Kluyveromyces lactis: one gene and its partners. The protein of the gene in region 1 interacts with the protein of each later gene in a pairwise test. Links are inferred from orthologs where the notes say so. Each region holds a gene or a part of one and is shown in the gene's direction. Other genes may lie near its edges.

Region 1 (4,141 bases):
ACATCGTTCAAATCACCACTAACCTTCCTTAGCAAGGAACTGTTCAATTTCGAAGCCTCTATCTTGCAATTCCGCCTGACAATAGTACTGTTCTCGTCATCGCTAATATCTCTTCTACTCTTCTTGACGATGATGGCGTTCTGTCTGAATATCTCTGGAGCCCTGTAGAATTCAGTCATAATTTTCGCAATATACAGTTTCTTATTTGACTTTGTGTAATGTTTGCACTGCAGAGAATAATTGATTGTTAACAGGTACATCCATTAGAGGAGTAAGAGCTGGTCACTTTTAGAAACGACATGTTTATATATGATACAGGGCAAATAAAAATAGCACTAGCAAACACTGAGCCAATCAAAAATAGGACCAAACGCAGAACAAGCAACAAAAATTAGAGAAAGGCACGTTACCTATTGAGTGTGTTAGGCAGCCATATGAGCAAACATCCTGTTTATGTTTGCAAGAGGTTTGTTTACCTGTAAACAAACCCAGCATCTTTAAAGCTGGCAAAGGCTTGTTTATATTTATGTCATTTTGGACGATATGATTTTTGTCACGTGATGCCCATAATCGTCCCATATGCACGTCATCTGACAGCAATACGGCAGATTCTTGCAACCTGGTGGCTACCACCGCCATTAATGCCGTTTCCGAATTTACTGACATACTCGGCGTAGCCTGGTATCCCTCTTTAGTACTCTTTTTCCAGGTTTCAATCTCCTCACGTGACAAGTAAAGGAGAAAAGAAAATTGTGATTTGCATATTTTAATTAAGGAAACAAAACAAGAACAAAGATACTTTACTTGCAAACAACATCCGATTTAATCATCAGATCAAGGTGCTAGAGGATAAGCAAACGTGCATTGACAGTGGCAAAAAGGACGGTACGGAAAAGGGTATTGAGCAAGGTATTGATCTGATTTTTCTTTGCTTCTTTTTAGAGGAATCATCAACTTTTTTTCTGGTTCTGTTTCCTGTTCTGTTTCTTTGCAATTACGACAATTAAAGAAGACAAAAGACAAAAAATAAAACCTTATAGGCTTTCTCGGGCGGTTTTATTTGTTTAATAATTATTGCTGTTACTACCACTTATCAGATATCTAGTGTTTGAAGACTTTTCAATTTGTTATTGAGATTCCACTTTGAAGGAGAAATTATCGGATTTGAAATTGACAAACCATTAAAAAAATAAAAAGCTGCGAAATATGTCTATCTCTGTGAAACTAGTGGCTGCTGAGTCATTGAACAGGAGGGATGTGTTTAGATCTCCTGATCCGTTTGCAGTTTTGACTATCGATGGTTCTCAGACGAAATCCACAGCGGCTGCAAAGAAGACGTTGAATCCCTACTGGAATGAAGTATTTCAATTCAAAAATGTGAGTGAAAATTCGATCTTAACTGTTCAAGTGTTTGATCAGAAAAAGTTCAAGAAGAAAGATCAAGGGTTCCTAGGTGTTGTCAACGTTCGTATTGGTGACATTCTGGGTCACTTGGACGAAGATACTGCCACTTCGAACGGTAGAGCTCGTGAAGAGACTATTACTAGAGATTTAAAACGTTCTAACGACGGGTTGTCAGTAAGTGGTAGAATAATATTGGTTTTGACGGTTCTCCCCAGAGCTGGCAGCCGTAATGGAGCTGCTGGTGCCGCAGGTAGTGCTGTTGCTGGTTCCGGAGCAGCTCGTCAATCGGATTCGATGACGAACGCTTCCACTATCGACAACAGATTGATTGCTCAGACTGTTGCTAACAACTTGCAAACTACTACATTAGACAACCAGGATTCTGCGAATGCTGCAGGTACCGCCAGTTCAGGTTCAGGTGCCGGTTCAAGTGATGCTGCTCCATCCGGTCAACCTTCGACAGCTCAATCTCAATCGTCAGCTAGCAGGCAATACTCATCGTTTGAAGATCAATATGGTCGTTTACCCCCAGGATGGGAAAGAAGAACGGATAACTTTGGAAGAACATATTATGTGGATCATAATACAAGGACAACAACATGGAAAAGACCCACTTTGGATCAATCCGAGGTTCAACGTGTCAACACCGAACTAGAACGTAGACAACACAGAGGAAGAACTTTACCTGATGGTGGTGCTCAATCAGAGGGCTCGTCTTCATCAAACGTTGCTGTTCATACCGGTACTGGATCTCAAACTCCTGCCGTAAACGGTTCAGCAGCTGCTACTTTTGCTGCCACTGGGGGTACCACATCGGGGTTGGGTGAACTTCCACCAGGTTGGGAACAACGGTTCACTCCTGAAGGAAGAGCGTACTTCGTTGATCACAACACAAGAACCACGACATGGGTCGATCCAAGAAGACAACAATATATTAGAACCTATGGGCCTTCCACAAATACCATACAACAACAACCTGTATCTCAGTTAGGACCTTTGCCTTCTGGTTGGGAGATGAGATTGACAAACACAGCCCGTGTATACTTCGTTGACCATAACACTAAGACCACCACTTGGGATGATCCTAGATTACCTTCTTCCTTGGATCAAAACGTTCCACAGTATAAGCGTGACTTCAGACGTAAGGTTATTTACTTCAGATCCCAACCGGCTTTAAGAATTCTACCAGGTCAATGTCACATCAGAGTACGCAGAAAGAATATCTTCGAAGATTCTTACCAAGAAATAATGAGACAAACGCCAGAAGACTTAAAGAAGAGACTAATGATCAAATTTGACGGTGAAGAAGGTTTAGATTATGGTGGTGTTTCAAGAGAATTCTTCTTTTTACTATCACACGAGATGTTTAATCCCTTCTACTGTCTATTTGAATATTCTGCCCATGATAACTATACTATCCAAATCAATCCAAACAGTGGTATCAACCCTGAGCATTTGAACTACTTCAAGTTCATTGGTAGAGTCGTCGGTTTAGGTGTATTCCATAGAAGGTTCTTGGATGCATTCTTCGTTGGTGCTCTATATAAGATGATGCTAAGAAAGAAGGTAGTATTACAAGATATGGAAGGTGTCGATTCAGAAGTCTACAACTCCTTGAAATGGATTTTAGAAAATAGCATAGATGGCATTTTAGATCTAACATTTAATGTTGATGATGAAAGATTTGGTGAACTGGTTGTCGTCGATTTGAAACCAAACGGCAGAGAAATCGAAGTCACAGATGAAAACAAGAAAGAATATGTTGAACTATATACCCAATGGAGGATCGCAGACAGAGTTCAAGAACAATTTAAGGCATTTATGGATGGATTTAACGAATTGGTTCCTGAAGATCTAGTCAACGTGTTTGATGAACGTGAACTTGAATTATTGATTGGTGGTATTGCAGAAATTGATGTTGAAGACTGGAAAAAACACACAGATTATCGTGGATACCAAGAGTCTGACGAAGTTATCCAGTGGTTCTGGAAATGTATCACTGAATGGGACAACGAGCAAAGAGCACGTTTGTTACAATTCACAACTGGTACATCGCGTATCCCGGTCAATGGATTCAAAGATTTGCAAGGTTCTGATGGTCCAAGAAGATTCACTATCGAAAAAGCAGGTGAAGTTCAACAACTACCCAAGTCACACACTTGTTTCAACAGAGTGGATCTTCCACCATACACTGATTATGAATCTTTCAAGCAGAAGCTAACATTAGCAGTGGAAGAAACCATCGGATTTGGACAAGAGTAGTTGAATGAATCTTTCAATCTTTTCAATACCCTGCACCTTCTCAATTATTCAATCAGAAAGCGCAAGCACAAACACAAGCACAGACATATATATGTTATAGATATATTGTTGCCAAAACATGTGTATATTATTACATAGAAATTTTTTTCTTAACCTCGTTAGGCCTCAACTTATGGTGCTTTGTTATATTTTATTGCCATTATCAGGTGTTACTTTATATAGGTATGCTATAATGTGGGAAGCAATTGACAACGAAGTATCTGGTTCCTAACCGACGGAGTTTTGTAATTGCCCAGAGATTGATATATCCAGCTTAAATTTTGGGATAATAACGAAAATTAGCTGCATGGAGTTGATAGTATTAAGACCGGGTTCTTAAATGAAAAGGGTTAAGTTGTAATTATATATATGATAATTATGATAGAGGACAGGGTAAAGCTTATAATAAAATAATTTAAATGAGTGAATTGAATGA
Region 2 (4,375 bases), on another chromosome or scaffold:
CAGGGTAAAGGATCCAAAGGTCACTGTTGCGTTCTACCAGGAACAATTTGGTATGAAGCTATTAGATCACAAGAAATTCCCTGACATGAAGTTTGATTTATACTTCTTATCATTCCCTAATAAGCAGTTTTCGAACAACTCTCAAGGTGCCATTGACGTCTTTAGAGAAAACGGTATTTTGGAATTGACCCACAATTATGGTACTGAATCTGATCCAGCATACAAGGTGAACAACGGTAATGAAGAACCACACCGTGGGTTTGGTCATATTTGCTTCAGTGTCTCTAACCTAGAAGCTGAATGTGAAAGATTGGAATCCAATGGCGTCAAGTTCAAGAAGAGATTGACAGACGGTAGCCAAAGGAATATTGCTTTCGCATTAGATCCTAATGGGTACTGGATTGAATTGATTCAAAACAACGAATCTGGAGAGGGGAACAACTACAAGTTCAACCATACCATGGTAAGAGTCAAGGATCCAATCAAATCCCTTGAATTCTATCAAAACGTCCTAGGAATGAAAATCCTTGACGTTAGTGACCATTCAAATGCTAAATTCACGCTATACTTCTTAGGCTACGAAAATGATCAAAAAGGAATTGCTCGTGGTTCAAGAGAAAGTATCTTGGAGTTGACACATAACTGGGGGACAGAAAATGATCCAGATTTCGCTTATCACACCGGTAATACTGAACCACAGGGGTACGGCCACATCTGCATCTCAAACAAGGATCCAGCTACGTTGTGCGCAGAAATTGAGAAACTATACCCAGATATCCAATGGTCTCCAAAGTTCAATCAAGGTAAAATGAAGAATCTCGCCTTCATCAAGGACCCTGATGGATACTCCATCGAAGTCGTCCCATACGGATTGGGCGTTTGAAGAGCACCAAACTCTCATCTATTTATTTGAAATGTAAATGCAAATTTATGTATCGTTGTATACAATATTCGATATGACACCGTTCAATCGCCATATTACAGCCATAACTGCCGGTAATACTGATAAAGATATCCTTTTGAAGTGACATGAAAGCACGTGACTGAGATTAATATAACTCTTCACATTTTTTTTTTTTTAATTTTTCATTACGCAGCAAACATGCAGCATCCACTAACTTCAGAGATTCCTGTAAGATAAGTGGTTCGTTATTTTCCGGATTCCAATTTTGGTGGTGCTCCGAAAAGTGGAAGCTCGTGATCCTACATGCTCACGAAACCCATCATCATGCAATCCACATTAAAGGAAGGGAAAAGGATATTGAACTTTTGACTATTTAGTATAAATGAAAACTACTTTGTAAGCTTGGACAGAGGAATAATTTCTGATTCGTGCTTCTGCTTCTACTGACTTGCAAACCAGTAAACAAGTTACTGCATTAATCAGTAATAATCTGCGTATAGCGAAACTTGTAACCAGTTTCCTCGTAACAAGGTTAGCAGAAGAATTTGCAAGAGGATCAAGTTGATAAAGACGTATATTTAGGTCTCTGCACGTTTTCAAACTTTTAAGCGAGAATCAAACGATTACAAAAAGGAAAATATTGATACAAGTAATAATAAACTGCAATGACACAATCTTTGCCATTGTTGAACGGTACGGAAGCGTACAAATTAGTTACGACTCAAGGGTTGTATGATAAGACAGTCAAGTTTTACGAAAAGTATTTGCAATTAGTTCATGACAAGCGAGTTGGCACATTGACAAATTCTTTAATCACTCTAAAGCTAGTTGTTGATAACAGCTTCAAGCCATTGGATGTTGTTAACGATAAAGATTGGAGGGCCATTGTGTCATCAGCATTGGTTTTTTCATGTACAAATATCCAACATTTCAGAGATTTGGCTGCTGGTGAAACGATTCAGGCCTATCCTAACGAAACCAACCCAATTGAAATATATTTGAAGGATCCAAACGGATATATCATTGGTATCACTGAAACGAAAAATGCTATTTCTATCAAACCTACGCTGCCTAAGCAATCTGTTGAGGCCTCTTTGATCTCCTCAAGATCTTCAAGAATAGACATTGCTTCTTCTGGTGTTTCCACTGACAGCTCGTATCCAGCGATTCCAAAGACTGCGAAAGCGCAAAAGTCCATCGCCGTTATGACATCCGGTGGTGATGCGCCAGGTATGAACGCAAATGTGAGAGCTATTGTTAGAACAGCTATTTTCAAGGGTTGTAATGCCTTCGTAGTCATGGAAGGTTACGAAGGTCTTGTAAAAGGTGGTCCAAATTATATCAAGCAGGTTTACTGGGAAACAGTACGTAACTGGTCTTGCGAAGGTGGTACCAACATTGGTACTGCTCGTTGTAAAGAATTTAGAGAGAGAGAGGGAAGGTTACTTGGTGCTCTTCACTTAATCGAAGCTGGTGTCGACGCTTTGATCGTGTGTGGTGGTGACGGTTCCCTCACTGGTGCTGATTTATTCAGATCTGAATGGCCTTCTTTGATTCGTGAACTCTTAGATCAAGGAAGAATTAACAAAGTTCAATTCGATAGGTACCAGCACTTGAATATTTGTGGTACTGTTGGATCCATCGATAATGATATGTCTACTACAGATGCTACCATTGGTGCCTACTCGGCATTGGATCGTATCTGTCAAGCAATTGATTACATTGAGGCCACCGCTAACTCCCATTCCAGAGCCTTTGTGGTGGAAGTTATGGGTAGAAATTGTGGTTGGTTAGCTTTATTGGCTGGTATCTCTACATCAGCTGATTACATCTTGATTCCAGAGAAACCTGCATCATCAAGAGAATGGCAAGATCAAATGTGTGATATCATTTCAAAGCATAGGTCAAGAGGTAAGAGAACAACTATCGTTATTGTTGCTGAAGGTGCCATTTCAGCAGACTTAACTCCTATCTCATCTAAGGACGTTCATAAAGTCTTAGTGGACAGATTGGGTCTAGATTGTAGAATTACTACACTAGGACATGTCCAGAGAGGTGGTACAGCCGTTGCTTATGACCGTATTCTTGCAACATTGCAAGGTGTGGAAGCTGTCAATGCAGTTTTGGAATCAACTCCAGATACCCCTTCTCCTTTGATCGCTATCAATGAGAACAAGATCACTCGTAAGCCTTTGGTTGAATCAGTTCAACTAACCAAATCTGTTGCGGAAGCAATCCATTCCAAGGATTTCAAAAAGGCTATGCAATTGAGAGATTCGGAATTTGTTGAGCATTTGGATAATTTCATGGCAATCAATTCTGCTGACCATATCGAACCTAAGTTACCAGAACACACCCATATGAAGATTGCTATTGTCAATGTCGGTGCCCCAGCTGGTGGTATGAACTCTGCAGTTTATTCGATGGCTACGTACTGTATGTCTCAAGGTCACAAACCATATGCAATTTACAATGGTTGGACTGGGTTAACTAGACACGAATCCGTGAGATCTCTAAACTGGAAGGATCTTTTGGGATGGCAATCCCGCGGTGGTTCTGAAATCGGTACCAACAGACATACTCCTGAAGAAGCTGATATCGGTTTGATTGCTTACTATTTCCAAAAGTATGGATTCGATGGTATCATCATTGTCGGTGGTTTTGAAGCGTTTGTCTCCTTGCATCAATTGGAAAGAGCAAGAGAGAACTATACAGCCTTCAGAATCCCAATGGTTTTGATTCCAGCCACTTTATCCAACAATGTTCCGGGTACCGAGTACTCCCTCGGTTCGGATACCGCTCTGAACTCTTTGATGCAATACTGTGATATTATCAAGCAATCTGCTGCATCAACCCGTGGTAGAGTTTTTGTTGTTGATGTTCAAGGTGGTAACTCTGGGTATCTAGCCACACATGCCGCTGTTGCTGTGGGTGCCCAAGTTTCCTATGTCCCAGAAGAAGGTATAAGTTTGGAGCAACTAACGCAAGATATTGAAAACTTGACGGAATCATTCAGCGAAGCTGAAGGTAGAGGTAAATTCGGACAACTTATCTTGAAGTCCACCAATGCCTCTAAGGTGCTTACTCCTGAAGTGTTGGCTGAGGTCATTACTCAAGAAGCTGAAGGTCACTTCGATGCCAAATGTGCCATCCCAGGTCATGTCCAACAAGGTGGTCTACCTTCTCCAATTGATAGAACAAGGGGTACTAGATTCGCCATCAGAGCTGTTGGTTTCATTGAGTCTCAACACAAGGTATTAGCAGCTGAGGCAAATCTGGATGATGACGACTTCGACTTTGATACACCAAAGATCATAGCAACTGCATCAGTCTTAGGTGTTAAGGGATCTGACATTGTCTTTAGTTCAATCAGACAATTGTACGATTTTGAAACTGAATTGAACAAGAGAACCCCAAAGACTATTCACTGGCAATCGACTAGAACCATTGCGGACCATCTTGTAGGAAGAA
Region 3 (2,711 bases), on another chromosome or scaffold:
CTATTTCCCTTATGTTCGCATGAGTTTACTGGCCGATCTCAAATAACAAATGTTAGTAAAGGGAAACCAAAAATAATAGTAAACGCATACATGGTTTAACATACGCTGTGACTCCGATAGCCAACTACTCATTGTTATGTGCTATTGTTGCGTGTATATCAAATACTATGAGCATATATAGAGAGGCAAACAGTGCCTATCTTGATGCGTTAATGTGCACATATTTACTGCGCTCGTCCAGAAGCCCATCGCTTTTCGCGATTGGGCTTCTGGACTGAAAAGACGTGAAGTGTTACCCGGTCATTGTGTTTTCCGGGTAACGAAAATCGTTCGAGGCTTTGAATCAGCAAATTTACCGGCCGTTGCTATTAAGTCCAATGGTTTATACCCTTGAAGCCACCATTACTATACACCATTTAGGGTTCCTTTTTCCACCTTAGAGCCGTGGATTTGCATGTTATTGCGTGGATATGATGGTTCACTCATCTGCTAGACGAGTCATGGATATATAAGACACGCATAAGCCAGATGTCTAACTAGATGCATGGAAGAAAGGTTGGAAGGAGCCGTTGGCTGTTAGGCACGTGACCCAACATTCTATAATGGCAGCGTCAGTTAAACAATCAGGTATTCTTCCGTCGTATGACGAAGCAGTCGGACAAGGTTCGTCTACCGGTGCTTCTCGGCATCAAGAGGCATCAAATGATGAACCAAATGATGAACCAAATGACGAATCAAATGATGCGTCCAATGATATACCAAATAATGCCACCAATTCCACCACTACCAGTAGCTGCAATACCGGTACTGATATCGACCAGCTTCCCTGGACGTATCCTCCATGGTATTACTGTAGAAGGTGCGGGAACACCGGTGTAGAGACCAGGACGCAACGCAGGTGTAGAACATGTTGGTCAAGATTCAATAGAAGGCAGTTTCCAGCAAGACGTGGTCTTATACTCACAGTTGTGCTCTTAGGTGTAGCTGTAGTAAAGCATTTGGGTAAACATGTCAGCAATGCCAGCCATGCCAGCCATGCCGCCCATGCAACGGATTAGGAAGAGATTCTACATAACATGTACACCCAGGTAAATAATTTAATTTATATTAGCATTGCAACGCCCATAGTCAGATACTCCTAACCATATGAAGTTGCTTGTCTCTCTCAGGTGTCTGTTGATTGATGACAGATTCCTTTGTCAGTAGTATGAGATCGCCAGAGCAGAGATATGAGTTTGTTACCCGGATATTTGTATATATGGTCCGGGTAACATGAACTGATCAAGGCTTTGACTTTGATGCCCATTAGAACCATTAGTAGGAGCATTGGCAAGAGTGGACCCTTGTCTGTAAGTCCGCAGTTACTCACTGGCTGCATCCAGTAGTTATCAATGGCTAAAAGCCCAGTTTAGGATCGGGATTCGTCCACATTGCAGCCGTCGTGCTATAGGGTTTCCTCATTTTAGGTGCATCTGCCAAATAAATCACGTATATATAAAAGATCAAGATATATAAGGGACATATATTTAGTCAAAGAAAAGTGTATGGAGAACGGGATCGGGATCAGTAAAGAACAGAGATCAGAGAACCAGTCACTTTGAGAATACTTCAATGAAATCAGAATCAGATATACAGCCAGATGAGCATCTTCCGTCGTATGATGAAGTGCTGAGACAAGATACTGCTGCTGCTTCGCAGCAGCAGCAGCAGCTCCCACCAAACCCTCCACCACGTCCAACACAACCACCAGCAAGACCGCCCCGGCCAAGCAATGCCATACCAGCGTACCATCATTCCACTAGTACCTTTTCAAGCAGTACCAGTACCAGTACTGGCAATAAGAAACTACCCTGGACGTACCCTCCAGGATATTATTGTAAAAAATGCGGGAACACTGGCACCAAGATCAAGACTCAACAAAAATGTAAGAAATGTTGGTCGAAATTCTACAAACCCCCACCTGCACAACCACCACGTCCAAGTGCAGGGCCAAGACCTGCGTTCGTATACTCTAATGTCACGATGCCACCACAGAATTTCGTCATAAACTCAGCACCTATCGTTGTGCGTCCCGGTGACAGTCGCATAGGAGGCATGATGTGTAACAATTGCAATGGGACTGGTAGGGTACGATTCTTCTTGGATAAAGAACCGTGTCCCGTATGCTACGGTCTTGGCAGGATTCTTACTGGACCAACCTACTAGTTTGATCATCTGATTCGCCCAAACTCTACACTGTTTAAGTAAAATTGTACATAATTAATTTCTATTCATTTCATGTTTGTCCATTAACAACATTCAATAGCAGGGTACTGGCTGAGGTAGCACATGATAGAGTAACTAGTCATGTCTAATTGCTGCTTCTCATGGTACGGTGTTTCCACAGTTTTACTTTTTTTCCTTGTATGACAAAAAGTGAAAAATTTCGATGAGTTCGAGTTATAGGAAACAAGAGGTATAAAGCGTACCATATGCATTTGTTCCATTGTAAAGTTTTCGATTTTGGGTTGGCTCTTTCAAGCTTTAACTGATTGGATAATTCAGTGAAAGTTTGTCGTTTTGTGTGTTAGTTTGTGCGTACGTGTCTCCTTCTGTCGGCTTCTCTCAACAAGTCCCGTTGTCTGACCAGTATCACATATTTATAGGGTCTTTCTTTTGCATGGATTAGTAACCCATATCAGGTAACCCATACAGCTAGCTATATTCAATAA

Evidence for each region.
Region 2: the proteins of RSP5 (region 1) and PFK2 interact in binary tests that used the Saccharomyces cerevisiae proteins (3 or more experiments, as listed by UniProt). The link is inferred for Kluyveromyces lactis from reciprocal best matches to the Saccharomyces cerevisiae genes RSP5 and PFK2.
Region 3: the proteins of RSP5 (region 1) and KLLA0_A09757g interact in a two-hybrid assay, tested with the Saccharomyces cerevisiae proteins (2 studies listed by BioGRID). The link is inferred for Kluyveromyces lactis from reciprocal best matches to the Saccharomyces cerevisiae genes RSP5 and HUA1.

What each region holds. Positions count from the first base shown.
Region 1 is NC_006041.1:1,196,927-1,201,067, forward strand, and holds RSP5 (NEDD4 family E3 ubiquitin-protein ligase), read left to right. Parts: upstream 1-1,206; coding exon 1,207-3,666; downstream 3,667-4,141. Other genes in the region: DSE1 (Dse1p), read right to left, coding at 1-260. UniProt on the Saccharomyces cerevisiae protein: E3 ubiquitin-protein ligase which accepts ubiquitin from an E2 ubiquitin-conjugating enzyme in the form of a thioester and then directly transfers the ubiquitin to targeted substrates.
Region 2 is NC_006042.1:607,111-611,485, forward strand, and holds the start of PFK2 (6-phosphofructokinase subunit beta), read left to right. Parts: upstream 1-1,569; coding exon 1,570-4,375. Other genes in the region: lactoylglutathione lyase GLO1, read left to right, coding at 1-883. UniProt on the Saccharomyces cerevisiae protein: Catalyzes the phosphorylation of D-fructose 6-phosphate to fructose 1,6-bisphosphate by ATP, the first committing step of glycolysis.
Region 3 is NC_006037.1:854,900-857,610, reverse strand, and holds KLLA0_A09757g (uncharacterized protein), read left to right. Parts: upstream 1-1,611; coding exon 1,612-2,205; downstream 2,206-2,711. Other genes in the region: GOT1 (Got1p), read right to left, coding at 105-132; KLLA0_A09779g (uncharacterized protein), read left to right, coding at 603-1,058; FOL2 (GTP cyclohydrolase I), read left to right, coding at 2,711-2,711. UniProt on the Saccharomyces cerevisiae protein: May be involved in assembly and disassembly of the actin cytoskeleton.